2 linked regions of the Xenopus tropicalis genome follow. The protein of the gene in region 2 purifies or fractionates together with the protein of the main gene of each other region. This does not show direct contact. Links are inferred from orthologs where the notes say so. Each region holds a gene or a part of one and is shown on either strand. Other genes may lie near its edges. The genes, in order: ampd2 and hirip3.

Region 1 (15,874 bases), on a different chromosome or scaffold from region 2:
GTTTTATTTAATTCTTTGTTCCATGACTTAATGTATTGAAGGTTTAATAGTTCTTTAGGAGAGTTAATGTGTTGATACATAATTGTGATAGCTTTCAGGAGGGTGATACCATCTGTGCACCATTTCTCAAAATAGGTTTGTTTTGTAGATTGAGATGTGTTCTGTTTCCAGCATTGTGATACCAAGTGGAGTATTTGGGATGCCCGAAAATATTCAGAGTTTGGGAGCTTATAGTTCTCTTTCAAGTAGTCAATTGTAAAGGGGCCCCTGACAGTAAGCAAATTCCCAACTCTCTTAAGATTTTGATCGCTCCACCATTGAAATGAACATACTTGTTGCCCTGGTATAAATTGCGGGTGCTTGAATATTGGCAATACTGGAGTATGGGGCGATTGCAACTTGTATAAAGCAGCGTAGGTATCCCAAATTACCAGTGAGTGTCTCAACGTGGGGCTGTTAATACTTGGCCTATGTTTCATTTGCGTCCAAAGCAAGGATTCTGCTGTATAGGGTGCTGCCATACTATTTTCTAAATGCACCCATAAGGGAGAGATGTTGTTGGTGTGTAAAAGGGGAATATGTGTCAATTGAGCTGCTATATATTATTTCCAGAGGTTTGGAAGTACAAGCTAAATTCTTATGAAATGGAGGAGGATCACTTCAGTTTTAGTTTGTCATCTGACTGAAATCAGTGTAAGCCATGTCCGTCATTCTGTTTGTGCACCCTTGAAAGGCAGAACTTCTGAATGGAATAATATTGCTTCATTAGCAAAACATGACACTATTTTACTACACTCTGAAAACCTAGGTAACCCTTGTATGAAGTGGAATGCAGTACAGGAATCTGACCCCTTATCCGGAAACCCATTATCCAGAAAGCTCCGAATTACGGAATGCCCATCTCCCATAGACTCCATTTTAATCAAATAATTCAGAATTTTAAAACTGATTTCCTTTTTCTATGTAGAAATAAAACAGAACCTTGTAATTGATTCCAACTAAGATATAATTAATCCTTATTGGATGCAAAACAATCCTATTGGGTTTAATTAATGTTTTATTGATTTTTTAGTAGACTTAAGGTATTGAGATCAAAATTACGGAAAGACCCCTTATCCGGAATACCCTTGGTCCCGAGCATTCTGGATAATGGGTCCTATACCTGTACTGTATGAAATTTAGCCAAAAAGAGTATTCCTTCCTACAAAGGGGCATACTGTATTATGATTGATTAGAGTAAGAGAAATAGTTTCATGTGTCCTAATAAGATGTAATAAATATAAATAATTTAGGTGGCCCCTCTTTAGCACACTTATTATAGCACTGTTATTAATAGTTATTTAGGTGATCGTTCCTACCACCACCAATGCAAACTACTTCCAGCATACACCAGCGACTGATATGGGTAGTCCCCCAGTCGTTATATCCGTGTAGTGTAGAGTTTGTAATTAGAAAGATTGAACAATCTCACCCAGCTCAGGCACGTTCTTAATAGTGTTCGTCTTAAACCTCCACACCTTCTCTCGCACCGATAACTGTCTCACTCCACTCACTTCTTCCCACCAGTACCGATGTTACTTGCTTGCACCTGCGACACCTCTCCTCCTCTCTCCTTCACACAAATTAGCGCCTCCTGTTAATATCCCATGCGTTCCACAGTGGAACGCATTAGTGATTTCTACTTCACACACAATGTTTATAATGTGGAAAATTAATCAGATTACTGCTACGCGTTTCGCTCAAATATGAGCTTCCTCAGGCTTTCTCCAATTAATTTACTTTACAGTCTCTTTTACCACTCTCATCACTCCATTATAAGAAAATAATTCTTATTTTTAAAAATGATTTTCTTTTTATATGTAATAATAAAACATTACATTGTACTTTATCCCAGCTAAGATATAATAAATCCTTATTAGAGGCAAAACAATCCTAAAAGACCCCTTATCTTGAAATCCCCGAGTCCCAAGCATTCTGCATAACAAGTCCTGTATTAAGTTACCTATAGGTCATGTTGAACCTTTTTTGCTGATAGGACTGCTTTTGTAAGTACTGTAATTATGCTGGGTTGAAAAACCCAACATAATGTTCTTCAACTTCAGCTTATTCTTCCGCTTCTTCTTCTTCTTAGCACCCCCCATTTTCTAAACGCTACTCCTCCTGCAATTTTAGAGGTACAACACCCAAACTCTCCACACTTCTTCACCCTGAGGTTGCTTGTGCTTTTCTAAGTGATTCCACCCCCCGTCGTTTTGTGGCGCCGAACCCCCCAATTTTCCCATTGACTTTGACAGGGAAGATTTTCAAACTGCTGCCACACTTACAGCTTTGAAGCTACACCCCCCCAAACTTGAATAACATAATGATGGGGTCACCCTGAATGAAACAGCAACATTTGTTGGATGACCCCAAAATGGGAGGGCCCAACAACAGTCAATCAAATTTCACCCATTGACTTTTATGGGGAAATTGAAACTGCTGCCAATCTTACTGCCTTGAGACTACACTTCCCAAACTTGAACCACATACTTATGGGGTCAGCCTGAATGAAAATATGATGATTGTTGGATGCCCAAAAGTGGGCAGAGCTGTGAACAGCCAATCAGATTTTACCTATTGACTTGGCAGAAATTTAACCTGCTGCCATTCTCACAGTAATAACACCGAGGTCTCCAAACTTTGCAGGGTTAGGCACCAGGTAACTGCGGTTCAAGGTTAGAAAAAGTGGGTGGAGCCACCAACAGCCAATCAGATTTTGCCTACTGACTTTCAATGGGAAAATTCAACCTGCTGCCATTCTCACTTTATTAACATCAGGGTCCCCAAACTTTTCACAGTTTGTCAATAGGGGACTGCAGTTTTAGTTTTGAAAAGTGGGTGGGGGCAACAACAGCCAATCAGATTTCACCTATAGACTTCATATGTTTAAATTTAAACTTTTGCCGTTCTTTAAATATTAAAACTAAGGTCCCCAAACTTTGCAGAGCTTGTCACCAGGTAACCGCGGTTCAGAGTAGAAAAAGTGGGTGGAGCCACCAACAGCCAATCAGATTTTACCTATTAATTTTCAATGGGGAAATTCAACCTGCTACCATTCTCACAGTATTAACACCAGGGTCAGGGGACTACATTTTTAGGTTTTAAAAAGTGGGTGGAGCCACCAACAGCCAATCATACTTCAGCTATTGATTTTTTTTTATTTAAAATGCTGCCTTTCTCACACTATTTATGTCAGGGTTCCCAAACTTTGCAAGATGGTCACTGGGGGACTGAAGTTCAAAAATAGGAAAAGTGGGTTGGGCCACGAACAGCCAATCAGATTTCATCCATTGAATTTTATTGGTTTAAATTTAAAATGCTGCCATTCTCACACTATTTATGCCAGGGTGCCCACTGTTCACTGGGTGACTTCGACTCAAGGTTAGAAAAAGTGAGCACACCCACCAACCACCAATCACAATTTACATATTAGGGTTGATTCACTAAAGTGCAGATATAATACTAACGCATGATTCACAAACACTAAGACACGCTAAATATTGCATTAGTATATGTGAAAATTAACACCTACTTGGGGCAGGTGGCAATTATAGAAAAGTACAGTTCATGAGTTTTTGAGGACTTTGCAGTGTGATTTATTCAAGTATGTGTTGGCCCTACAGTGATGCCTAGAGTTCATTTTTGTGTCTATTTTAACTCAAAAAAGCATGCTATAAAAATGAACGCACTTTAGTGAATCAGCCCTAATAAGTACTTTGCAGTGTGATTTATTCAAGTATGTGTTGGCCCTAGAGTGATGCATCCTCCAGTTTGCAGGGAAATGGTCATTTTCAAAAAAAGTAGTTTTACCAACGTAATGGTGTGTATGGCTAATATGGCATGTGCGCGATAAGTAGCGCACATGCGTTAATTAGCGTGTGCGACAAGTAGCGTGCTGCGTTAATTAGCGTGCATTGTCCCTTCTCAGCCTGTCAGTTACAGCTTCTAATGGTAACGGACTCCTGCTGCACAAATATGGCAGCCCCCTCAGAGGAACATGGGGGATCATTTAAGTAATGTAAAAGCACTGGGCAAATATTTTTGAGGCAAAATTATAAAAAAAAAAATAGATTTAATTTCTGGTGTTGGTATCTCTTCAAGGCCAATGCTTAATACAAACTGTATACACGAAGATAAAGGATGTGATATCCGGAGACAGTTCACACAGGTACACTGGGCAGATCATTTGCTTTCCTTTGTCTAGGTTTTGTACATCTACTCAGTGTACTGCTGCACTTAAATGATTATAAATATTTATATTTATAAAGTTCCTCATTTCAATAAGACAAAGCTACTATACAATTTTTGTTTATCCTGAAAATGTTTTTACCATCAAATGGAAATCAGACATTCCCTCAATATTATATTTAAAATGGTAAATTTTAATATCCTGCTCTGCTTAATAACAACGTTAAAGAGGTTCCCCACCCCCCAAAAATGTGAAAAGATATGGACCAGATGAGTAAACAATTTTTTACCTGGTTAAAGTATATCAGGGAACAAGATACTTTTAAACTTGAGATTATAAGCTCTTACAACACCCTCCCTCTCCACTCTAACAACCCTTTCCCCCCTCTACCTCTCATTGCCATTTTGTGATGTGTACATAGAGAAGAACGCACCAGCACTCCCTGGCCCCTCCAAAATATATTCCACCTGGTGCACAGTGTCCACTGAGGGATCAGCACCTTCCAACCTGAAGTAATTTGTGATATGTACCAGACACTGGATGCCATTTACGAATTCCTGGCCAGTTAGGTTGGATATTTGCAATTATATAAATAATTACAAATAGAATAAAGACATTCAAAAAATAAAAAAATGAATAAACCAACTGACTGTCTGTGCTTGTGCTTTCCTTGCCCAACACCACAGCTTACCAGTAGTGTGATAATGCTCTTTCAAGGGCTCAGTAAGGGAGTGGAAACATGAAAACTGAAGTGTCTGGGCCAGGTCCCTGTAACTACCATCCACATTACTATTTGCATTGCTAGATAATGGGCAAAAATTCATCCTAGAGTTGCATTCATGATAGAAGAAAATTGTATCAATATTTTTATACATATTATTTGTTATGATGTTTTTGCACATATCCAAGTTGTACAGTAATTAATGATAAATGGTAAAGAAGATTATGGAAAACATGCAATTACTGGGATATGAAGAAATATCACACTTGATTACAGAAGAATGTAAGAAGATGTATAAAGAGCCTTCACTTGTATATATTTAATTGCAAATTCTTGTTTCTGCTGCTGTATGTTGCAAACCCCAACAAGCTTAGACACATAGGTAATAAAACAATATTTGGTTTAGCCAGGCAATACAAATGTAACATTTTCAATTCAATTCAAATTAATCTTTATTTCTCATGCAGGCTTAATGAACTGATGATTTTAAAAATATAGCAGCATTTTTGAGGTAGGGTTGCCACCTTTTCTGGAAAAAACAGCCTTCATATATTTTGCTTTTTTCCCCTATTAAATGGGTTATTCACCTTTGCATTAATTTATAGTATGATATAGAGAGCAATATTCTGAGACAGTGTGCAATTGGTCTTCATTTTTTGTCGTTTTTTAATAATTATTTAAATTTTTGATCTACAGTTTTCCAGTTTGGAGTTTCAGCAGTTATCTGGTTGCTAGAATCCAAAATACCTTAGCAACCAGGGAGTGAATGAATAGGAGAGGGCCTGAATACAAAAATAAGTAATACAAAGTAACAATAACAATAACATTGTAGCCTCACAGAGCAATAGTTTTTTTTGCTGTCAGTAAATCCCAACGAAAAGGCAAATAATTCAAAAACTATAAAAAATAAACAATGAAAACCAAATGAAAAGTTGCTTATAATTGGCAATGCTATAACATACTAAAAGTTAACTTAAAGGTGGACCACCGCTTCATCATTTTTACCAACCAGGCCAATACAATACTCTTCAGGTGGCAACCATATGGGCAGGTATGGTATCAACTATCCAGAAGGTCTCAAAAAATTACACTGCCATTTTTTATAGTGTCCAACAGTAGAACTAAACCCAAAAAACTATTTTGCACCATGAAAGAAACTGAATGCTAAGCAACTTTTCAATATACATCAATTATGGAGTTTTGATATTTTGACGTAATTTGTAAATTTAATTGCTATTAAAAGCATTATTTTTCTGACTGTGTACATTTTAGCTTTCCAGGCTCTGACTCCTGAAACAATGTTGCCAGCTGACAAAAGATGATTAAAAGACCTGGTAAGAACCAGATACAGTTTTAGTCTCATGTATATTGGAAAACTGCTTAGTATCACATTTACTTTTATAATGCAAAAACAATTTTAGGGTGGAAAACCTATTTAAAAAATTCTTCATTTGCTCTTCAGTTGCTCTTTTTTCCTAAAAACAACACCACTATTTTCTATTTCATGTAACCTAAGCTAGCATAAATATACTCCAGGTCCCAAGAATTCTGGATAACAGATATCATACTGTAGTACAACCCCTGTGATTCTTGTTCATTTTCAGCCAAATAAGAACAGTCTGCACACAAAAGAAAAAAAACACAAAATATTTTGGTCCAAGATGTCAAAAAAACAAAAAGCAACCATGGAGTTTTATACAGCAAAATATAACTTTTAAAAGAACTGTGCCAGTATTGTTGGGCTTTTTAATATTTTACATTTTTTGTCAAAATGTTCAGTGACATTACACAACAACGTCACCTCACTGCTGATTTTTGGTTTGGGTAGAAAAACAATATATGTAATACTAGTATATTTTTACAACAAAGTGTATCAAGTCAATATACAACATAAGTGCAAAGTACATGTGGATGATTAAGTGTGAGAGGAATTGTGTAGAGATTTAAATGTCACAATGCACTATAGCTAACATAATACATAATTGAATTGTTTTATTCCAACTTGTTTTTGTGATATAACACCGTAGTACAGAGGCACAGTAGTAGGTCTAGGATTTCAGGTACATAACAGATGATTAGTATGGCATCCACATGCTCTTTTCAATCTTTTATATGTTTTAGGCACACACTACAGGGAAATTTTTTACCACAATGTACACTTTGGGCAAATATGGTTTGGTTGAAGATTTCTTGATTTTTAAGCAGTTTATCCTACTTGTGGAGGCAGATTTACTACAACTCTAGTTTCTCCCAGCCTAAAAAAAAAAAAACATTTGAATAAACTAATTTTCATAAATGTCTGATATTTTTAAATTGCCACACAAAAGCCAGCATCAAAAGTCCAAAATCTCAATTCCTCAATTCAAAGCAAAGAAAGGTCTTCCAGAGAAGGGAATAGACATTTGCCATTGACGTCTACATGATCAACGGGTTTTTGATGGGGTATTTTCAGATATAGAATTTGCACAGTTTTGTCACATAGTAAATCACGAAAAAAGTTGCAACCTTTTTTTTCAGTGCTAAAAAATCCAAATCAGAACCCCCCCATTAGTAAATATCCCCCATAGTGTGGATTAGGATTTTCTGGATATGTTCATTGCACTGCAGTTGTGGCAAGATCTAGGGGCATATTTATTATGCTGTGTTTTATGCTGATTTTACATAGCGAAGCTTGGAGATGTGTGGCAAATTTTCTTGCCGTTTTTTTACACAACATAATAAAAATGCCCCCAAGTGTGCCGGTGAGTTATCATGAGCAGGGAGGTTTACACAACTGATGTTCTAAAAACAGAACAGGCAAGCATACCAGAGAACATGCTAAAATAAGACATTGCTTGAGACATTTAATTTTACACCTTACAAAATCATTGCAACTTTTTCCTCTACTATATAAACAGATCACAGAGTTTTTTTCCAGCCTAAAAATTATTTGATTTCCCAGCTTTCTTCAGTTAAAAACAATTGCCCCAGTGCCAACATTTTGCCATTACACACTGTTTGCTCTATTTTACTGACACTGTCTCTACAGCTGATTACCTTTTCAGAAAAAATGACAGTAATACTAGATATTTTTCTTTCTGAAGCATAAAAGCCTCACTCTTTTGTGCATAATAGTCACTGTCTTTACACTCTAAACATTTCTGACCAGAGGTTTTACACAATATGATAAATTTCTCATTCTAATAGTTTTTAAAATATATATATATTTATAAACATAATATTGCAGGGTTCTCAATATTATTCATGCTTAGGCACCTACCTCCTCACAAGTGGAGGAGGCAATCTGTGTTTAATCTCCCCATCCTCTGCTTCTTTCACATATATTTTAATTTCAGCTCTTGTTTACTGTGTAGGTTTTCTTCCAACATTTATCAGAACTATAGTTACATTAACATATTTATGTTTTCTTTAGAGCAGCACACATTTCCATGATTTCTTCAGTCATTTGCTACATACTTGCAAACAACATTTCACCACTCATATAGACTATCTGCCTCTTCTTTCTGTTTCTTTTACAGGTACAACCACAGTAAAAAAAATTATGTTTCTTTTTCTTTCTTATGCTCCAAAGGCCATTGCCTCATCTTTTTTACTGGTGCTTCTCCATGCTTATGGTCATTAAAGTTTCTCTATTCCCATCCCCCTTTTAAAGTATTTGCTTTGTTTAGGGTCGTCTTTTCTCATTCTCCATACTCTGGCTATTAGACTCTCCTTTGGTTTCCCCACCAAGCTCAACCCCCATGAACAGAGCCTCTTCAGGGATGGGTTCAAGCTCCTCACTCTGCAAAGCTTGCGTGATCAGTGTCAGTTCTTCACAGAGAGTCTCATATCGAAAGCCAACACGAATGTCAGGAACATTGGTCCTGCGAATGTCATTGCTTTCAGGTCCATCCTGTGAGTATTTTGGTCCAAGCCAATAGCTTTTCACCTGTTGCAGAAAAAGTAGAGAGTTTAGAGTCTGCAAGTGCTCAAATAAAAAAAAACTGACACACATTTTGAAAAAAAAAGTAATATACAGGTATGTGATCCATTATCTGGAAACCCATTATCCAAAAAGTTCATCTACCATAATTCAGATTTCTAAAAATGTTCTTTTTCTCTGTAATAATAAAACAGTTCAGTTGACCCCAACTATAATATAACTAATCCTTAATGAAGGTAGAACAATCCTATTGGGTTTAATAAATGTTTAAATAATGTTTTAGTAGACTTAAGGTATGGAGATACAAATTATGGAAAGATACCAGATAGACACAAAACACCAGGTCCTAAGCAATACGGATAATAGGTCCTATACCTGTATTACATAACTTTAAGGTTACCGAGAAACTTGATCCCAGTTAAGATGTAATTAATCCTTAGTGGAGGCAAAACAATCCTATTGGGTTTCTTTAATGCTTAAATTACCTTTAGTAGACTTGGGGGCAGATTTACTAAAACTCTAGCATTTCTCATTTTTTTAGTTGATAAAAATATACTTTTTTTTTAGCAGTATGTGCAGTTGGGTAACCCTAAATAGAAGACTCCCATTTTAAGTACTACGATCATTGCACACAAACTATGTGTACATGTTAAGTCATGTCAGCCAATTAAAGTTGTGCCTTTTACTCAAACACTTCTTCCTGTGACAGTTAGAGCTGCATTAATTCCTGTCAAGTAATCTCTGAGGCAGCACACAAACCATTGCAAAATGGTGGCTCAAGGTAAAAGATGTTAAAGGGCGATATCTATTGATATAAATATTTCAGTTTGGTATGATTTTTTAATAAGCCACTTCATTTGATATAAACCATCTGTTGGCAAAGTATTCATTTTGAGTTATAGTTTCCTTTAACTCAGGGGTCCCCAACCGCCGGGCCGCGGACCAGTTCCGGGCCGCGGACGGCATGGCAGTGGGCCGCAGCGCCCCCTTCCCCCCCAGCGCATCGCATGTATTACGCGCCGCGCCCCGCCCCCCTCGGTCCGTGTAAAAGATTTTGTGCCTCCTACCGGGCCGCGGGGCTAAAAAGGTTGGAAACCCCTGCTTTAACTAACATCTGCATTTGTGAGTCAGTGAGAGAATTGAAGAAATGGGGAATGTTTGCTATTACAAAACACACATAAATGCATACAGAAGGGCGTAAGTAAGTATAGTAGATTAAAGAGCTGCAGAATAACCAGCTGGGTCTAATTTGTCTCAGCAATCTAACCAGGAAACTTTAAAACCCTGGCTGGCCTGTTTGACTATTGAGACAGACAGAGAAGAGACTATTGAGAAAGACAGAGAGTGATGTTTGTGAATCGAACACAAAGTCCTCTACACACTGTTACTTGACGAAAGGTCTGTAGTGTTTTCTTGCATTATTTTGCTGTGTGAAATGTTGTGCAACCTTTAAACTGCCTTTTGACAACATTTTACAGTAATTAAAATATGAAGTACTGTTGACCTGCACTGGTAAAACTGGTGTGTTTGCTTAAGAAAGACTAATAAACAATCTGCTGTGTAGCCAACTTAGCTTAAAAGCTTAAAACAGTACAGTACTTTATACTATTATTTGTAATTTTTTGGTGTTACTGTTACTGTGTCCTTTAAATAACGTTTTGCTGTCCTGACAATTGCTGTGCGAAAACCTACTACAGCAAGCTTGCATTAAAGGAAAAGTAACACTAAAATTTTTTAAGTAAAAAATCTATTCTACCCTGCCCCAATAATTGCCCTATCCTGCAAACCATTTATAATTTTGAATGCTTTAGTAAAAAATACCTGTCAAAACTTGGCTTTCGGTCATTTGAAGAAAGGCGATGCAGGGGAAGCACCCACTATGTGGCGATCGATTGATCGAGCCTAGCCTATACTGAAGGAGCCAGGCTAGGCTCCATCAATCGATCGCCGCATAGTGGATGCTTCCCCTGATACTTCCCCTGCATCGCCGTATCGCCTTTCTTTAAATGACCGGAAGTCAAGTTTTAACAGGTATTTTGTACTAAAGCATTCAAAATAATAAATGGTTTGCAGGATAGGGCAATTATTCGGGCAGGGTAGAATAGATTTTTTACTTAAAATTTTTTAGTGTTACTTTTGCTTTAAAACAAGTTTAAAAATACCAGTCTCTTATTAAACTGTCTCTGTTTGATGGATTCATCCATTCTAGTGGTTTGTTCTCTACAGAGAAGAGAAATGAAAAAAAGATGCGTTTGAAGGAGAAGGAAAGTCTCTGAACAAGATTGCTTCAAAATTACAGCCATAATCTTATTAGTAACATACTGCCCCAGCTCAGCTCTGTGTTGCTTTGCTTGCCTATAAATTAGCCATGGTCTGTCCTACAGACCAGATGAAAAAGATGAAAAGTGGAGAAGCACAAAAGTCAAAGCATAAGGAATGCACAGGGGATAAGGGAGAGGTGGGGTGAGGTGAGGAGAGAGGTAGACAGTATGCAGAAAACCATAATAAAGGAAGACAAAAAGAGACATAAGGAAGAAAGTACAGAATAAGAAAGGTTAAAGGACATGTCAACCCAAAAAAAATATTTTCTAACCGACTTTCCATTATGAATTAAAAATATTTAATGCTTTAAGTTATTTCTAAATGTATTTACTATTAAAAGCTGCATTTGCTTAACTCCTGGATTTGAATATTTAAACAATGTTGCAAAAGCCAGTCTCCTACAGCCAGGACAGGTCTGTTAATCAGCTGGCTTATTTTACATTGTTTCAAAAGTCAGAGCCACCAAGGCAGAGAATAGAAAATGACAAACACTGCTTTTAATAGCAATTATATAACTTACAAATGTTTAATGAATAGATATTGCAAAGTTGCTTAGAATTATTTTTTTTTTATTAAGCATTTATTATTATTTTTGGAAGAAAAGTCAAAGGAGTAACAGTCCAGGCCTGGTGCAGAGGCAGAAATCATGCACGGTAGACAAAAGGGGGCTTCATGCTAGACTTGGAAGCAGCTAAAAGAGCTGTACCTGAGCTGTTTGTGATTTCAAAACAAAATTAGACTAAAAATGGCATGTTTTTCTGGGGGCTTCTTTGAATTATATTCCCAGAGTCTTCTTTTCACTTGAATGCCTAAAAGAGAAATCTGTATATTTTGTATCTTGTATTTCATTAAGAACAAACTCCCAGTAGTTTCCTTGTTGCTTCATTTAAGTGTGAGGAATGGTGTTGTGGCATGTATGGTCAAATTTTGGTAAAATGTATTTACCTTGTGAGGAAAGCCACTCATTAACACGCTGTTTCTTGCCAGCTCACACATGTCACATGAGCTCAGTTTCCACACTTGGGTTGCAATGCTGTATTCTTCCATTAGAGGTTCCTGCATGAGAAAAAGAAATCATTGGCAAACAAAAGTCTTGAATTTTTCTTGGGGTAATTAACTTTTCTAAGATCTTATGAAATCTGCCACTCCGGATTTTCAACAGTTAATAGTAAGGCAGCAGCATCCCCTTAATCACTTAGGGTTCCTTCTCCTCCTCTAACCCACTCGGCTCCCTCACTTAGAAATTGACTTTGGCTGTTGGCTACTGAGCATGCTCAGTTCTTATCATCTCAGATTACGAAACACACCCTCCAGTCTAGCAGCCAATGAAGAGACAGCATTGCTAGTTCCCACAGAAACTCTGCTCTAGCTCTTCTCCTAACCTGTGCTGTGCTCAGCTCAACCATTGCAGTGCTCAATCGAAGCAGGACTTTTTTTAAGTTCAGTTTGTGTAAGCCTGCGTTCTTGATTGCATGAACTTTACAGTGCACATTTGTTGTTTGCAGATGTAAATGTCACTGATGATGTCAGAGAAAAAATTGCCTTTAGGTAAAAGCTACTATTTGTCTTATGACAATGTGATGGCGCGTGTGTTGTCACGAAACGCGTAAGACCTCCAGCTGTGTTTTTGATGTGCAAATAAAGGTTGATCGATTTTAATACTAACTGTTGCGGCTTTTTATGCTGACCTGGAGTGCACGGCCAATGTGTAAAGTTTTGTTATGGGAACTGAATAAAGCCTGTCGATTGATATATACAGATCTGGTTCCGTGAGTGCTCTCTGTGGCTGCGATTATATAAATATATATATATATATATATATATATATATATAGTGACATGTCTGCCTGTACACTTTGGGGGAAACTAGATATGGTAGGCAGGTAAGCAGAGGATCTGGAGACAGGAACACAATGTCTTCTGGCAAAAACACAGGATTATTTGGGGCAAACTTTTCCCAACATAAAGAAAATAGGAACACAGTTCATCAGCAGTTTTAACAAACTTATTAAAAACTCTGGGCTCTCACTTTCCTACTCTGGAACCTTTTCAGGGTTTCTCACCATCCCCAGTTTCACACAACCATGGTGACTCTCACACCCCTGAACACAAATGCTACTCACTCACTGACTCTCCCCTCCTGGGGTAACAGCTCACCAGCCTCTGGCACACTTTGGCTTCTCACTAAGCCTTGATGTTGTGGCTTCTCATTAAGCCGTGCTGACTCTTCTTAGCATTCATACACCTGGTCACAGCTCCCTCTGCATCTTGCAGTGGCAGGCCGCACCCCCAGCCCTTCTGGGAGTTCTTAACACAGGCAGGCAGCCTTCCTACTTTGTGCCCTTCTCTGAGAGACCTTTCACTCTGAGTGACCCCCTTTCTGAGTGACCCCTAGGTGTGGGAGCACACCACTTTGTACCTCTCCAGGTAACTCCTCCCTTAGCTGCCTCTTAATTAGCCTATTGAGAGGGAATATTAACCCTATCAGTTCCAGGAATCCCCCTGCAGACACAGCTGTCTTTATATATATATATATATATCCTTGATAAAGGTCCTAATGAGGACCGAAACGTTGGTTTTTAAACAATGAGTTTTCAATAAAAATGTTTTTGAATTTTAAGGGTGTGCCGGCCATGGATTATTTCATGCTAAATACTCAGATTTTGGCTGTGCACCCCACAGAATACTAAAAGCCTTGGAGTGCAGACACCATCAGGACTGATATATATATATATATATACTAAAAGGAGGTCTGTAATGAAACGTACCTTTTTTTCAAATAATTTAAATCCTGTGAGTGCTGACACTTTTTTGTTTTATTGTACTATATTTGCTCTTGTACCCAGGTATAATCATTGTTAGTGGTGTGCACCAACTCACTGTCTATACATATATATATATACAGTGGTGTGAAAAACTATTTGCCCCCTTCCTGATTTCTTATTCTTTTGTATGTTTGTCACACTTAAATGTTTCTGCTCATCAAAAACCGTTAACTGTTAGTCAAAGATAACATAATTGAACACAAAATGCAGTTTTTAAATGAAGGTTTACGTTATTAAGGGAGAAAAAAAACTCCAAATCTACATGGCCCTGTGTGAAAAAGTGATTGCCCCCCTTGTTAAAAAATAACTTAACTGTGGTTTATCAATTTCAATTTTCAATTTCAATATCAATTTCTGTAGTCACCCCCAGGCCTGATTACTGCCACACCTGTTTCAATCAAGAAATCACTTAAATAGGAGCTACCTGACACAGAGAAGTAGACCAAAAGCACCTCAAAAGCTAGACATCATGCCAAGATCCAAAGAAATTCAGGAACAAATGAGAACAAAAGTAATTGAGATCTATCAGTCTGGTAAAGGTTATAAAGCCATTTCTAAAGCTTTGGGACTCCAGCGAACCACAGTGAGAGCCATTATCCACAAATGGCAAAAACATGGAACAGTGGTGAACCTTCCCAGGACTGGCCGGCCGACCAAAATTACCCCAAGAGCGCAGAGACAACTCATCCGAGAGGCCACAAAAGACCCCAGGACAACATCTAAAGAACTGCAGGCCTCACTTGCCTCAATTAAGGTCAGTGTTCACGACTCCACCATAAGAAAGAGACTGGGCAAAAACGGCCTGCATGGCAGATTTCCAAGGCGCAAACCATTTTTAAGCAAAAAGAACATTATGGCTCGTCTCAATTTTGCTAAAAAACATCTCAATGATTGCCAAGACTTTTGGGAAAATACCTTGTGGACCGACGAGACAAAAGTTGAATTTTTTGGAAGGTGCGTGTCCCGTTACATCTGGCGTAAAAGTAACACAGCATTTCAGAAAAAGAACATCATACCAACAGTAAAATATGGTGGTGGTAGTGTGATGGTCTGGGGTTGTTTTGCTGCTTCAGGACCTGGAAGGCTTGCTGTGATAGATGGAACCATGAATTCTACTGTCTACCAAAAAATCCTGAAGGAGAATTTCCGGCCATCTGTTCGTCAACTCAAGCTGAAGCGATCTTGGGTGCTGCAGCAGGACAATGACCCAAAACACACCAGCAAATCCACCTCTGAATGGCTGAAGAAAAACAAAATGAAGACTTTGGAGTGGCCTAGTCAAAGTCCTGACCTGAATCCTATTGAGATGTTGTGGCATGACCTTAAAAAGGCGGTTCATGCTAGAAAACCCTCCAATAAAGCTGAATTACATCAATTCTGCAAAGATGAGTGGGCCAAAATTCCTTCAGAGCGCTGTAAAAGACTTGTTGCAAGTTATCGCAAACGCTTGATTGCTGTTATTGCTGCTAAGGGTGGCCCAACCAGTTATTAGGTTCAGGGGGCAATTACTTTTTCACACAGGGCCATGTAGGTTTAGATTTTTTTTCTCCCTAAATAATAAAAACCCTCATTTAAAAACTGCATTTTGTGTTTACTTGTGTTATCTTTGACTAATAGTTAAATGTGTTTGATGATCAGAAACATTTTGTGTGACAAACATGCAAAAGAATAAGAAATCAGGAAGGGGGCAAATAGTTTTTCACACCACTGTATATATAAACAAAGTATAGAGCAACAGGCACTCACGTCTAATGAAAAATATAGGATGCCTGGGTGCAGAGTCCTAGCGAAATTTTCACGAACAAAAAAGCATGAGCCGCACTCACAGGTCTTAGTGAACAGATAGAGAAGAATTTA
Region 2 (15,708 bases):
CCCACGGCGTTTGTCTGCATCACTCTCGGTTACGCTTCTCAAACTGGCTTTATTTTCAGGCAATAAAGAGCGAGATTTGTAAAATAAAGGCTCCTGTTATCGATACAAGGGGGGGGCTGGGGGGCTCCCTATGGGACATCACCCAACACACAATGCATTTTGTCAATATCCCAACACACAATGCATTTTGTCCGCACAAAAGTTCACAGTTCATGTTCCAAAATGCTCGGTGTGCAAAGGGTCCCCCTTGTGTTATAATTCCCACTGATCCATGGGGAGGGCAGGACCTCCCGGCACTGGGAAAACCCATAAAAACACACATTTTATTCACCTCTGTGTGTAAAATACAACTTTAAAATCCACAAAGAGCTGGGAAAGCTGCGCTTACTGATCGATTGCAATGGGGCTGCTTTCTGGCTTTGCGAGGGGCGAATGCATAACGGCGGGGCGGCTCGGCTTCAGCACTTTCTGGGAGTCAACTTGCCCTGTAGCCAATTGGCCGAGCAACTCATCCACCTGCAGAGGAGCAACAAAAGCATCAGGGCAAATAGGAATGGCGATAAGTAGGCATGCATTAACCCCTTCTAGCTATGCCAGTTCCACAGGGGTGCACTATAGTATATACATGATCCCTGGCACCACCCCTCCCCCCCCCAGACCGGGCACTTTCCTTACCCTACGGGCATATTCAGGGTCTTCTTGAGGCTGGAACCGGCCGGACTTTTTCCGTGAGCGAGACGCGCTGCGTAGAGATAACACTATTAGGGGGGGCAGTTTGCCATCCTGTATAGAAACCTATGTATATCCCTATGAGACGATTTTTTTTAATCAGTCTAGAACAAAAAAATCAAACATACTCACCTTATGGTAGATTTTCTCATTTGCCCCGAAGGGGGGTAGTTTTTATCTGAAACAGATATTGTGTCCATGATTAATGACAAATATTGGTTTTCAGAAACTATGGCTGCCAAGTGTACGGTCCCTTTAAACGCACCCCCCCACTGATATTCCTGCTGCAGATTGTATTAACCCTTCACTTCCCCCCCCCCCCCCCCAAATTACATACAGGTACCTTGGAAGGCCGACCTTTGCTGCAAACGGCATTCCCTCTCCTGATTCCTGGGCAAGAGAGAAGGAGCGTCACTTTAACTTGCAGATACAACGGAACATTCTCCCTCGGGCAGTGATGGGGCCCAGGGTAAAAGCAGCCTCTTATTATCATTTGGTGCTGAAGGGCCACAGGTTGGGCAATAGAGATATTAAAGGAGAAGGAAAGGTAAAAACTATGTAAATACAGCCATAAGCACTCACAGAAACGCTGCACTGAGTCCTCTGTCAAAAGAAACACAGGATTTGTTGTTTTTGTTTTCCTGTGCCAGAGTCTGTGCAGCTCTCTCCTCTCCCCCCTCCCATAAGAATGTTAAGGACTCCCTCCTTTTGATCTGAGCCAATCAGCAGGAAGCTTCCTCATAGTCTTACAAACTGCACATGTACAGGGGTCTTGGTGCAGGAGTGAGGCATTATGGGAACTTTTTTCTGCGTTCTTTTTTTCCTATGAGGCTTTGGATCATCTGAACGGGAGAAATATGGGGAGACTTAAGGGCACTATTGAGAGAACTGAAGGTATGCCTGCAGCTTGAGATTAACTCTTTATTGGCCTTTCCTTCTCCTTTAAGTTCTATTGCCCCCATCTTGCTCTGGGTGCATGTATGGGCAGAGTGCCAGGCATATGATATATATATATATATATTATATACACACACACATAATCCCCAGTTTGCCTATTCCTGGCCAGTCTGGGAATGACAAGATATTCTGTTGCCACTTGGGCTCATTCCTATCCAGCTCTGCCTATTCCTGGCTCATAATTGGGAGGTTACACCCAGTTCCGACTGTGGAATCTCTGGGCTCGGAATGTGCCGAGTAAGTAACACACTCATGGCTTCATCACTCAGGCATGTCAGTGATCCTCTCCCCGGGGCGGGATTTCATTTCAGCTGCTGTGACCCCAGGGGAAGGGAAATGAATACGGACCATACCCTCCTGCTGCATCCTGGGAACCCTACTAATTGAAATGAGAAAGCTTAGCAAGTTAAGGGAAACAAAATGACTAAAACCGGTGATACTATATTTAGTTAAAAGGAATATTTAACAAGGTAAAAGCCTGGGTTTGGGGATAACACCGTGGGGCAGCAGGAGGGACAGGACACCATGATGGATTCAGTCAGCCCCCAGAATTGCTTGGTTTCCTATTCCAGCTCCTATCCCCACAGCCGTGACCCAATGTGATTGGAGAAGGGAACAAACACTTATGTGGGAAATATTTTTCACTTGTGCAGAAGTCACTGGGCGTGACACACACACATGCACAGGATCCTTACAGTGGGTGTGGGGGGGTGATCAAGTCACGGGGAAGGAACCTTCTGGAAACAAACAGAAGCACTCACCTCTCAAAGCACTCCTCACAGATGAGGTTGTCCTGTAGGCCGCAGGGAGTTGGAGTGGAGGAAGGAGTCAGGTGTAAGGGGATGCATGATCCCTCGAACGTCATACAGACGCGGCCGCAGCGGAGAAACAGCGGCTTCCAGCGACTCACAGTCAGCTCCTGCCCATGTACCACACACCAGCCTCGGCCTCCTGGGAATTAGATAGTGACCCACATACAGGGTTAAATATCTGCTCACACACAGCAGCACAGTGACTTCTAATATCCTTATCATACTCAGAGTTCCCTGTATAACTCAGCCTGCAGCCTTGTGCCTTTATATGGGCACAGAACCCCTCAGTGACTGCTAATATCCTTATCATTTACAGTAGGGGGTACATTATCCCTTATAATACATGAGTGATACTCAGAGTTCCCTGTATAACTCAGCCTGCAGCCTTGTGCCTTTATATGGGCACAGAACCCCTCAGTGACTGCTAATATCCTTATCATTTACAGTAGGGGGTACATTATCCCTTATAATACATGAGTGATACTCAGAGTTCCCTGTATAACTCAGCCTGCAGCCTTGTGCCTTTATATGGGGGGCACAGAACCCCTCAGTGACTGCTAATATCCTTATCATTTACAGTAGGGGGTACAGTATCCCTTATAATACATGAGTGATACTCAGAGTTCCCCGTATAACTCAGCCTGCAGCCTTGTGCCTTTATATGGGCACAGAACCCCTCAGTGACTGCTAATATCCTTATCATTTACAGTAGGGGGTACAGTATCCCTTATAATACATGAGTGATACTCAGAGTTCCCCGTATAACTCAGCCTGCAGCCTTGTGCCTTTATATGGGGGGCACAGAACCCCTCAGTGACTGCTAATATCCTTATCATTTACAGTAGGGGGTACAGTACCCCTTATAATACATGAGTGATACTCAGAGTTCCCTGTATAACTCAGCCTGCAGCCTTGTGCCTTTATATGGGCACAGAACCCCTCAGTGACTGCTAATATCCTTATCATTTACAGTAGGGGGTACATTACCCCCTATAATACATGCAAAGAGATTATTCCCTATACACCCCACAAGCACACACATATATATATATGCAGTAGGTACGTCAGGTAAGAGTAGACAGGACGGTGGATATTTATATAGCGGCCCCAGGTACCAATCCCCTTTCCCTAAAATAGCCCAGCGCCCTCACAGCATCACAAACGCCATCACGCACTGTTCCCATAGCAACCGACTGACTTCACTGGCCCTGACGTCATTGGAAGGGTGGTACGAGCAGCGCCGTGATTGGCTGATGCTTGCATATGCGGCTCAGCAGGTGGGGGCGGGGCATGGAGGGGCGTGGCCTAGCAGGGCTGTACCGTTGGATACAGCGGGTCAGGTGGTGCTGCCGTTATTGTAACCCGTTCTTCTCCGAAGGCTAGAGGAAGGTGCTGTCCATCTCAGGTAAACGTGTGGCCGGTAAATTATATATGAGCCCCACATAGGGGCACAGGGAAGCCCGGTATTTAGTATTGGGTCAGGTATATGAAACTGAAGCCCCAGGTACCCAGTGGCCAATATTGGCCGGCCCAGCAATGCTTCTGTATGGCAGCTCCCACAGCCCAACCCAGAGCCCTGCCCGGTGGGGTCCGGTCAGACAAGCAGTAGCCATGGCTGATGGTTCCATTGCTTTGGCTCTTACCCATTTGTGTAGTGCCCACACTGGCAGCCCATAGTGTAGCATTGGTACAGCTTGTATAAGCACATAGTATGGCAGCAACATTGCCCAGCCCTGTATCTGTATTAGCCCCAGTGTTCCATGGAGTGTGAGCTTAGGGGCCCAGTGTCTGTATTAGCCCCAGTGTTCCATGGAGTGTGAGCTTAGGGGCCCAGTGTCTGTATTAGCCCCAGTGTTCCATGGGGTGTGAGCTTAGGGGCCCAGTGTCTGTATTAGCCCCAGTGTTCCATGGGGTGTGAGCTTAGGGGCCCAGTGTCTGTATTAGCCCCAGTGTTCCATGGAGTGTGAGCTTAGGGGCCCAGTGTCTGTATTAGCCCCAGTGTTCCATGGAGTGTGAGCTTAGGGGCCCAGTGTCTGTATTAGCCCCAGTGTTCCATGGAGTGTGAGCTTATGGGCCCAGTGTCTGTATTAGCCCCAGTGTTCCATGGTGTGTGAGCTTATGGGCCCAGTGTCTGTATTAGCCCCAGTGTTCCATGGAGTGTGAGCTTATGGGCCCAGTGTCTGTATTAGCCCCAGTGTTCCATGGTGTGTGAGCTTATGGGCCCAGTGTCTGTATTAGCCCCAGTGTTCCATGGAGTGTGAGCTTAGGGGCCCAGTGTCTGTATTAGCCCCAGTGTTCCATGGAGTGTGAGCTTAGGGGCCCAGTGTCTGTATTAGCCCCAGTGTTCCATGGAGTGTGAGCTTATGGGCCCAGTGTCTGTATTAGCCCCAGTGTTCCATGGTGTGTGAGCTTATGGGCCCAGTGTCTGTATTAGCCCCAGTGTTCCATGGAGTGTGAGCTTATGGGCCCAGTGTCTGTATTAGCCCCAGTGTTCCATGGTGTGTGAGCTTATGGGCCCAGTGTCTGTATTAGCCCCAGTGTTCCATGGTGTGTGAGCTTATGGGCACAGTACCTGTCAGTTCCCCTGAGACACTCTCATCCTTCTCTGGGCTGGGAGTCTGGGGATCCTCCTGTTGGCACAAAAAAGGAGAGTGAGGGTCAGGGGGGGGGGGGTCGGGGCCAGCGTCAGGGGGGGGGGTAGGGGCCAGCGTCGGGGGGGGGGAGGGGCCAGCAGGTAGGGCACGATGGCAATATTAACACTTTGCGTTAATGCTGGCCAGGTTGTAGGTTGGCCAGTCCTATTAATAATGTGGGCCCCACAATGGGGGGGTTAGTAGCCTTTCTATGCAGTCTCCCTACAGTGGGACACACATTGGGCAGCCATGCTGGCTCATTAGCTCTACATGTACAGCTGGGGAAGGGCTGATTAACCCAGGGATCCCCAACCTTTTATACCCAAATGATAAGTGTTGGGCAGCAACACAAGCATGAAAGGTTCCTGGGGTGCCAATAAGAGCTACAATTGGCTATTTGGTTGGACAGGCAGCCTATAGAAGGCTCTGTTTGGCATTATACTGGGTTTTTATGCAGCCACAACTTGCCCCCAAGCCAGAAATACAAAAATAAGCCCCTGCTTTGAGGCCCCTGGGAGCAACATCACTGCTTTCACATTTCCTATTCCTCCTCCATTCTTGCATTTAAATAGATGCCTTGTCGGTAGGGTAATTTAGCCTAGCAACCAGATGCAGTATAAGGGCAAAAACAGAGCCACAGTAAAAGTGATGAAAAGAATTAAGACTACCACAGCCCCCCCCCCCCCCATGATAGTAAATGCCCAGACTCACCTGATTGGCAGCTGCCTGCTGGAAGTACTCCAGGAGCCTTTGCACCAGCTCTGCATTCTGGGCACAGGGACAGGGCAGAATTAATACATATTATATATATATTTATGCCTTTACACACTACACTATTAGGGTTGCTGCCTCACTGCTTTATAATGTAACATATAAATATCATGGCATTTAATGTAGAGGCATTGTGCATGGCTGTACAGAAACCAACACAGCCTGCAGTTAGAGGAACTAATACAGGGTGGGGGTTTAACATATATAAGGGGCAGCCCTACACACAGGCTCCTGGCATTGCTCATGTCCCCCCATGCCCCCGCGGTGCCCCCACACCTTGCCTGTCCCCCGCAGTCCGAGCCGCTTGCAGTGCTGCTGGAGCTGAGCCCGCTTTAGGAGTTGCAGGGAGGAAGGCGTCAGGTCCGGCTGTGGCGGCGCAGGGTTCTTGCCTTGCCGTTTGGGCATGATGGCTCCGGGGCTGGCACCTGGGTATATGCCCCGGGGTGGGGCAGTGGCTTCCAATCAATACCTGGAATGTATAGAGCCACACCTCAGCCCCCAGGGTAGGGAGGGGCAAGTCTATACCCAGGGTAACTGATTAATGCCCCCCTTGTATGTAGTACTTGGCCGTAACACCCTCACCTGTGCCCCCCAGTCAGTGCTCTGAGCCGAGGGGGAGCAGGGTCCCCTTATTACATCACCTAATTAGCAGCCTCCAATCTCAGGCCACTAATTACTCACTGTGGGAATTTAACTAGTTCTTTGCTGTGTGCCCTACTCCCTGCAAGCTATAAAGCATTAACCCCTGTGGTGTGGAGTTGCAACCAATCAGTAATTAGCTCTGCTCATTCAGCTGCAGGACGACTAATGAAAGCTGCATTCTGATTGGTCACCGCTCCTGTTTTGTGAGTTCCCTCTGAACCCTAATTGGCACAGCTGTGTCCAGCCAGGGATCTCTTGGCAAGTGATTTCTGTTGCCAAAACTACTGCTCCCAGCATCCCAGCTCAGCCCATAGGGGCAGGTTGGAAGTTGTAGTTCTGCAGCATGTGGGGTGCAAGTTGCCTGTCCCTGCAGCAGTTTAACCCTAATAATCAGCCATGGAGCATAGGGGTATTATGGGAGGGGCCACTTTAGCACTTAATAACAGAGGGGCGTTTCATACATAATGTGCCCACCCTATTGGGCCACAGGGCAACCCTCACATTTTGGCCCAGATTCACTAAGCAGTGCTACAGATTCCTGGCATAGGAAACACTATTTTTTTTATATATCATTATTATCTCCATCCATCATTGGGCAGGAGAGTTTCCCCTTTAATAATGCAGCTAAGCAATGGGCTGGCTTGCTGGGGCTGTGAGGCCAAGGGGCTGAATGAAGAGACGGGGGCAGCTCGGGGGCAGCTCGTATGGATTTCCGATCCCTGCCCTGATGATTAATTGCTCTACAATCTGCATCCCTGCGGCTTCCCCTGCCCAGCACCAGCCAGGAAAGGGTGCCTGGAATCCTATTGGCTCTTCATTGTCACTCTGGTGATGTCAGAAATCGAAGCATTTTCTGCTTCTTCAGGCTCCACCCATGCTTGTGACATCATAGTCCCCAAAATAAACTACTCCTGGCACAGGGGACCTGCAGGGATGGGGGGCACAGGGGGGCAGAGCTGGTAGTGGGTGATAATTATATATATTATGTTCAGGGATGGGATTGTGTTATACTGCACAGTGCTGCCAGGTTCCTGCCAGGGGCCACATTATCTTTAGGTGCCCTAGGGGCACAGTTTGGGCACACATAGAAAGTGTTTCCATGCCCATGTTGCCACACTACCTGCTGTCTCTCTATCTATGGGGCCCTAGGGTCTAAAGGAACAGTGGGGCCCCACACCCCTACCTTGCCCAGAACCCCATTCTGCTATGGGTGCTGCATGCCGTTCTGGTGCAGAGCCCTTAGGGTGCTATGCTCAGCAGTTTGTGTGGGTGGGGAGGCTGCCCATTCCCCTCCAGCAGCCAAGCAGTTAACGGAAGCAGCTCTCAGATCCCATCATGAATATGTATAATAGCGAGGGGCTTTGTGGCCCCCCCTTATCACACACGCCCCCCTCACACCCTCCCTCAGCCCTGACAGCAGCACCATCCTCTCTGCAGAGCGAGCAGATAAAGAGGGAGCGACGCAGAGAGACAGACGCAGTGCATGGGCAGACAGCTCCGGGACATGAGACAGCACAGCCCAGGTAAGTGCTTTTTATCCAACGAGGCCCCCCCATAGCATTCCAGCCTCACCCCCTACTGCTGTAAATAGCTCACCCCCTGGCTATGCCAACCTCCTCAGCTTGTAGAGGCTCCATGGCAGTGCCAGCTCTCCCTGCCCACTCTCCGCCATGTATGCACAGCACTGGTACTGATACTGGTACTGATACTGGTACTGGTACTGATACTGATACTGGTACTGTGCTGTGGCAGTTTCCCTTCTAATACTTCCCCTGGCATGGGCAGCTGAAGGCTGCAAGGGGATCCTGGGAAATGTAGTTTAACTGCAGGGTGACTTACCTGTAAGTTTGCTATGAGGGAAGGGGGTGCCTGGCTAAATGTGGGGTCACTTACCCCTAGTGATACACCACACCGCTATATTGCAGGCAGTGCCATTCTCCACTCGTTATAATTGCCCACCCTGCAATGCCAGCTGCCCTGCTGTACCCACAGCCCCTGCACCGTGCCACTGTATCTTGGCTATACATGCCAACCTTCCCTCTACCATATATGTTGGTGCCAGCCTTCCCTGGTATGTACCGTGCTGCCAACAGTGCCTTGTGGCCTAGAGCCCAGTGCCAATGAAGGATATGGAGACCCTGAGATATTCCCAGCTGGCAGACACACACTCCTGTGGCATTTGGGGTTCCCTATCTGATACGTAAAGGAGAATATGGGAGGGTGGATGCAACTCTCATACGTGCCGTGGGATCCTCGTGATGCCCAGTTAGTGCCAGGCTCATTGTACTCTGACATTGACTCGCCCCTCTCCCTCCCACCCGTCAGCTCTCCCCCCCACACTGCTCTGATTCACTCGATGAGTCAGTCTGGCCCATGGCTTTCTAGGGGGGCTTCCTCCGTCTGTGGCCTATTTTCTACCCAGACCCCTTCTGCCAATTCCCTCAGGTGGGGTCTCCCATGCCCCTGCCCCCCCCCCCCCCCCCAACCAAGCACTGAGCCCCCTGTCTCTCCAATGCCAATGGTTGTTCCTCTTGAGCCTTCTCACCCCCTTGGTGCCCCCACTCTCCACCGTTCTTACAGTGAGGTTGGAGTCCCTTTGGGCAGCGCTTAGTACTCAGCCTGTGAGTCACTCTCCTATTGGCAGCGAGTAGGTGGGCGCTCTCGGCAATACAGAGTGTAGGTGGCACCAGTGTACGGACTGGCACTGCTTTACACACAGATTCAATTACTGACAGCGGCACGGCTTGTGAAATTGCTTCTATGTGGGCTTGTTGGATTGCAAGCTCCTTTGGGCAGAGCCCTCTTTACCTCCTGTACCAGTTGCTTTGTATTTAATTCTGTATGTTCAATTGTGCAGCGCTGCAGAATATGTTGGCGCTTAATTATAAATACATGTTAATATTTCATAGGATTCTTTCTGTCTCTGCCCAGATTGCACCCAGTGAGCCGTTGGCACCAGGTCTGTGCCCAGATTGCACCCAGTGAGCCGTTGGCACCAGGTCTGTGCCCAGATTGCACCCAGTGAGCCGTTGGTAGCAGTTCTGTGCCCAGATTGCACCCAGTGAGCCGTTGATACCAGGTCTGTGCCCAGTTTGCACCCAGTGAGCCGTTGGTAGCAGTTCTGTGCCCAGATTGCACCCAGTGAGCCATTGATACCAGGTCTGTGCCCAGTTTGCACCCAATGAGCTGTTGGTAGCAGGTCTGTGCCCAGGTTGCACCCAGTGAGCCCATTGGTACCAGGAGACTTTCAGCCGTTCTTGCTTGGCAGCTCAGCTCCTGGACCCCCCTTCTCTCTATGCCCCTGCAGCTCCCCACAATGAATTTCCGTAGCCACCGGCTCCTCCGCCGCTCCCCGCCTCCCCCCCCTCCAATCTCCAGCAAGCCGACGGCAATCAGCGGTACCAGCGGCACCGGGCTCTCCAGCCTGAGCAGCATCGCGCAGATCAGCCCCTGCCTCTACTTGTCCAGCGGGAACGCCGCCGGCAGCCGCCACTTGGTTTACTCTCGCAACGTCACCTGCATCGTGAACGCCACGCTGGAGATCCCCAACTCCAACTGGCCAGACGTGGACTACATCAAAGTGCCGGTGCCGGACTTGCCCCACGCGCCCCTGGCTTTGTACTTTGACACTGTGGCCGACCGCATCCACCAAAATGGAAAGCGGAACGGCAGGACATTAGTCCACTGCGTAGCCGGGGTGAGCCGCTCCGCCACGCTCTGCATTGCCTACCTGATGAAGTACCACCGCCTCGCCCTGCTCGATGCCTACCAGTGGGTGAAGACCAGGCGGCCAGTTGTTCGGCCAAACATGGGCTTCTGGCAGCAGCTGATTCAGTACGAGAAAAAGCTTTTTGGCAAGAACACTGTGAGGTTGGTGCCATCTCCCCTGGGCCTTATCCCCGACATCTACGAACGGGAGACCCGCAGCCTCATCCCAGTGTGGAATTTCAGATAGAGACCCCTCCCGTCTCCTCTGGGACTTGGCAAGGGGACATCACCTCTCCCTTTTATACTGGGGGGGGGGGGGGGGGCACAGCCTAGCTTACAGGACCTTTTTTAATCCTAGGATAATATTTTTTAGGTTACACACCTTAATTTGCCAACTTCCATAAGGGTGAAATGGCTACGGGCAGTGCCAGGCAGCAGGGAGTGTTGTTGTTTGTTACCCTGTGTGTAGAGTTGCACAAGTTGCCCCGTAACGTGCCTCCCGGCTGTGTGTGTGTGCCCCGTTGCTAGGGAGACTGGGCGGGGGAAGAGGAGGGGGGGTGCGGGGAGGCACAGGCTGGGCGCACAAACATAGATTTCTAAATAAAAACTTATTTATCGTACGGAATCCTGTGTTTTTAGCATGAAACATTTATTTACAAAAATACATATAAAAATAACGTAGAACAGGGTGAAAAGACAAGAATGGAGCAACACTGAGGCATGCTGGGATACGGGCACCCACTGGGCGAGCCACACTCACTCACTCTCCCCATCATCGCTGATGATTCCCTTCAAGGAGGACCAGTCCATGGGTTTCTTTTTCCGGGGTGGGGCCTCCTCGCCCTCAGAGTCCGACGCCACCGCCTTACGGTATCCCGTGGGGGAGGAGTCCCGGGACGGGGAGTTCTGGTAAGGGTTCCAAGTGTTACGGCGCCTTGTGCGGCCTGGAAGGTGGGGGAGGAAAAGAGAGTAAGCTCACAGGGCTAGTCATGGTGTATTTGACATAGTAACATAGTAAGTTGGGTTGAAAAGAGACACACGTCCATCACGTTCAACCATAATGCCTATATATAACCTGCCTAACTGCCAGTTGATACATTATTACTTTCTGCCGCTGTCCCGACCAGTAACAAATGAGAATAACTTTATATATGGAAGTTTAGTCCTGGTATGTCGGTACCAGCCGGATCTGTGACTCCCGGGAGCGCAGCCAGTGTTGGTCACATGATACCTGCAGCCTTTATACTGACAAGGCAAGATTGGGCGAGGGCAACACCCCTAACTGGCGTGCCAGCAATGCTGAGGTCATGTGACTATCTTCCCCAGACCCAACGGAACCATGGTAACCCATGTATAACAACGGTAAATACCGGTTGGTCCTGCAGAGCGACACCCTGAGAGAGTTTGTCTCCCCGAATATAAAGAGCTGTACAATATTCACATCTCAGCAGGGTCATTTCCCCTTTAAATAAGGCATTAGCTGAAGGTAACATGCTGAGGAACCAGTTTATACCCTGCACAGGCTCTGTAGGGACACACGGGGCAAACAAACTGTCAGCGGCTGCAACTGCCGGCGGCCGAGGCCTCGAGTGTGAAAGAGAAAATTAGAACTCAACCAATATCAACAAATATAATTTTCCTCAATGGAAAATAAAAAGCAGTTAGTTTCCAATATACAATTGTTGAGCATTTTCAGTGCTATTCCCCACACTGTTGGTTCTGACTACTGCGACGTGCTTCAGTGGTACATGCAGTCAGAACCAGCTATATATATATATATTGGAAGACTGCTTAGATATCATTATTTGGGTTCAGTTACCCTTTAAACATGTCCTTAAGTAGTCACCCTGAGGCAGCCTGTATCAGCACTTTAGGGAAGGGTTGGGCAGTGCAGTACAATTACAGGGGGGGCTATTATCTGACACAGAGGAAAGGCATTTGCCCCGCAGCACAATGATTGGACGATGGGATGAATAAGGTGCATATAATGATGATGATGATGATGATGATAGGGGAGGCAGAGGGAAGTACTCACTCTGCTGGCTGGGACTACATCCTACACAGCTGGGGGGAGCCCGAGGGATCTGTCACATGACTCCTGCCCCCCCTCCTGCGATAAAGGGGAAGTATCACGGAAACCAACAGGTAATGAATACAGTACATAGGCAGGGTCCCCCCATTCCCCAGCAGCACCCAGACACCCTCAGGGATGCAGAGAGTTATAGCACGAGCCCTACAGCCACTGGCAGGATGCAGAGACCCCCACTGGGCTCCCCCAGACTGACCCATTAATCCTACCCCCCCAGCAACTTACCAGCTGTTTCAATGATGTTACTGGTATCCAGTTCCGCCAGTTCTGCTGCCTCCTCTCTCTTCATTCTAACAATGCGGCACTTGGCTAGTGATGGCTGCCCTGCGCGGAACAAACATTGCCTCTTATGAGCAGCTGCCATTCACCCCACCACTCTCTGTGCCCACCCCCTTCTGCCCAACCTCCAGCCCCAGCAAGGTAAGTCATCCCCCCACCGTACCCTCACCTTTAACCCCCAACTCTTCCAGCTCGTTCTTCAGGAGCTGCACCATGGATTTCACCGAGCGGCAGTCCTGGAAGAGCTTCTTGTAGTTCCTACGCGCCCCGCAGGCAACAATGTAGCGCTTCAGCCGCGCCACCGAGGGGTGGTCTTCCCGGGATGAACTCTAGGGGGGATAAAATGGAAGTCAGGCCGTGTAGTTCAGATACAGGGAAGGATTTGGGCTCAGGGTCAGTTGGAAAGGCTAAGGATATACTTGTTCCTTGAGAAACAGAATCTTTGTGAGAAGTCTTTAGTTCCCCTTTAAAGGTAATGCTCATATTTAGCCCATATCAGGCACCATATAACACTTCATATGGGTATGGAATATGGCAGGGGGGTGCCACGGGGATCCCCAGTGCAGATATGGCAGGGGGGGCACAGGGATACCCAGCATGGGGGGGGCACAGGAGTGGCACAGCTCACCTTACTCTGCTTCTTGCTGCTTTTCTCCTTGTCGCCATCAGATGCCACAGAGGAGTCGCTCTCAGTTCCACCATCGTTTGGTTCTTCTTTCTTATTGGCCGATTCCTCACCAGACTCCCTGTCCTTGGCACCTTCTCCTTTCTCCTTATCTTCATCCTCGCTGTCTGTCTCCTCCTTCTTGTCTGGCTGTCTCTTCCTTTTCTTGGCACTGCCGCTTTCCTTATCTGACTTGGCCTTGCGCCCATTCGCTTTCCTTTTCTTCTGTCCTGCGCTCTCTTTTTCACTCTCACTATCGGAGTCTCTCTCGGAAGCACTGCTCTCTGCACTCTCGCTGTCTGTCTCTTTCTTCGGAGAGTTCTTTTTAGGCATCTCATCTTCGCTCTCAGATTGGCTCCTGCCATTATCGCTCTCTCCCTCGCTATCGGCCTTTCTCCGTTTCTGCGCTGCTTTTACCTTCTCTCCCCCTTTCTGTAGTGTAGCGCTCCCTGCACTCTTGGCTCTCTTAGCTTTGCTCTCTTCCTCACTCTCACGGTCGGTTTCCAGCCTGGTGTCTGTCTCTTCTGCTTCATCCTCACTGTCCGAGCCCTTTGATTTGCCAGCTGTTCTTTTGCTACCAGTCTCATTCTTACTGGGACTGTCTGAAGAGTCCATTTCGACTGCCTCCTCCTCATCACTATCGCTCTCTTCTTCACTGTCTGTCTCTTTTTTATTCCTTCGCTTTGCTGGCTCTTTGCCTTGCGGCGCTCTCTTGGGGCTTGCGCTCTCCTTTCTCCTCTGTGCAGGTTTCTTTACTTTGCTTTCTCCCTCACTCCCACTGTCTCTCTCCTGCTTTGGCTTTTTCTTTTGCCTGGTGTCTGTCACTTCTGTTCCACTCTCACTGTCTGACCCCACGCTAGGCGCTCTCTTTCCCTTCTTTGCTGGCTTCTTCTCCCTCCCACCTTTCTGATATTTCCCAGAAGCCCCCTGTTTGCCAGACTTTGGCTTGGCCTGTGGATCACTGTTGGATTCCTCCAATGGCTTTTTCTTTACTGTTCCCTTTGTGCCACTGCTGTCGGACACCTTACTCTTTTTGGTGGGTCTCTTTCGTGGTGGGCTCGGCCCCTCGGAATCACTGTCACTCTCGGTCTCATTACTCTTGCTGTGTGATCTCTTTTCCTTCTCCGACCTGCTCGCAGTCTGTCTCTCAACAGCTGCCGCCTCAGAGGAACTGCCAGACAGTCTTTTGCGGTCGCTCACAAAGGGTTCAATCCCAGAATCCTCCTCATCAGAAGCATGGCCTGCAATATAAGCGGCTTATTACCATAAAGGCGGTCATACCTTACGGAATCTGACCCTTTGGCCAGTGGGCCAAACACACGGCTACTATATGAGCCCCTGTACTACCACCACGAACAGCAGCTCATTTACAGATACCCCATAAGAACCTGTATGAGACTGCTCATGGTGGGCTTCAGCTGGGACATACCCCAGTCTCCCTTACCTTCTGTGGGCTTCCGTTTCTTCCCTGGGGGCTCTCTGCCCCCTTCACTATCAGGTTCAGGAATCTCTCTGCCTCTCTTCTGTACCTTCCTGATCAGTGGCTCCTCGTCGCTGGACGACTCCTGCTGCAGAAACACAAGCCTTTAACTACAGAGTGAAGCCTAGGGATAAAGGGTTAATAGTTACAGCCAAGTTGCCCCCCCCGCCCCCCCCCCCCACCATGGGCCACAGAACACTGAATAGTTAGCCACGTGCCTGGGTTATTGACAAAGAACAGGAGCGGCAGTAACACAATGTAGGCTGGCACTGGGGCCACCTATAATGCAGGAAAAGCAGAGCTTGTGGCTAGTAAATGTGGCTAGTAATACAAATGGCTATATGTAACCTTGCACAATAACTCTGTGTGGGCTGAAAAGCTGTCCTCAATTCCTAAGAATTCAGCAGTCTTGTGCGCCCCCTAGTGCTTCCCCCGGGCAGTGCAATTGCCTGAGACTGAGGATCCCCTACGGCCCATGTATGACGATTATGTTTGTCAGTTTCAATATAACGGTGCAGCAGAGGCTGCCCAATGGCACTACCCTTACTAGTGGGATATAAGTCTGCCAGTCAGCTACAGGCTGTTAATGCTAATGGCACAACAGGGCCCCCCCCAAAAAATGATGTATTGAGTCACTCAACCCATAGGATCTTTCTTTAGCCATAATCTAGACATGCCAGTATGATCACTACAGAAAATGGACAATGGGTACTCCATTAACCCCAGACATGCCAGTAAGATCACTGTAGAAAATAAATAATGAGCACTGAATTAACCACAAACCTGCTAGAAAGATCTATGCATTGGCATATGGGCTGTTTGTTGCCCCACAAAGCCCAAGTGCATTGATGGCAGTGACATGTATATGGGTCAGTCCCCCCTATAGAGCCAATGGGCAGTGACATGTATATGGGTCAGTCCCCCCTATAGAGCCAATGGGCAGT

What was found.
Region 1: the proteins of hirip3 (region 2) and ampd2 purify together in Homo sapiens (co-immunoprecipitation; 3 studies listed by BioGRID and IntAct, with this or other methods). This does not show direct contact. The link is inferred for Xenopus tropicalis from reciprocal best matches to the Homo sapiens genes HIRIP3 and AMPD2.

Annotation. Positions count from the first base shown.
Region 1 is NC_030678.2:71,739,309-71,755,182, reverse strand, and holds the end of ampd2 (AMP deaminase 2), read right to left. Parts: intron 12,250-15,874; coding exon 12,139-12,249; intron 8,878-12,138; coding exon 8,614-8,877; 3' UTR 6,679-8,613; downstream 1-6,678. UniProt on the Homo sapiens protein: AMP deaminase plays a critical role in energy metabolism. Catalyzes the deamination of AMP to IMP and plays an important role in the purine nucleotide cycle.
Region 2 is NC_030685.2:5,179,914-5,195,621, reverse strand, and holds the end of hirip3 (HIRA-interacting protein 3), read right to left. Parts: intron 14,853-15,708; coding exon 14,729-14,852; intron 14,526-14,728; coding exon 13,249-14,525; intron 12,950-13,248; coding exon 12,790-12,949; intron 12,666-12,789; coding exon 12,567-12,665; intron 11,197-12,566; coding exon 11,009-11,196; 3' UTR 10,883-11,008; downstream 1-10,882. Other genes in the region: dppa2 (developmental pluripotency associated 2), read right to left, coding at 385-516, 676-742, 862-907, 1,073-1,119, 2,448-2,637, 5,071-5,128, 5,843-5,899, 6,179-6,307; dusp14 (dual specificity protein phosphatase 14), read left to right, coding at 9,840-10,499. UniProt on the Homo sapiens protein: Histone chaperone that carries a H2A-H2B histone complex and facilitates its deposition onto chromatin.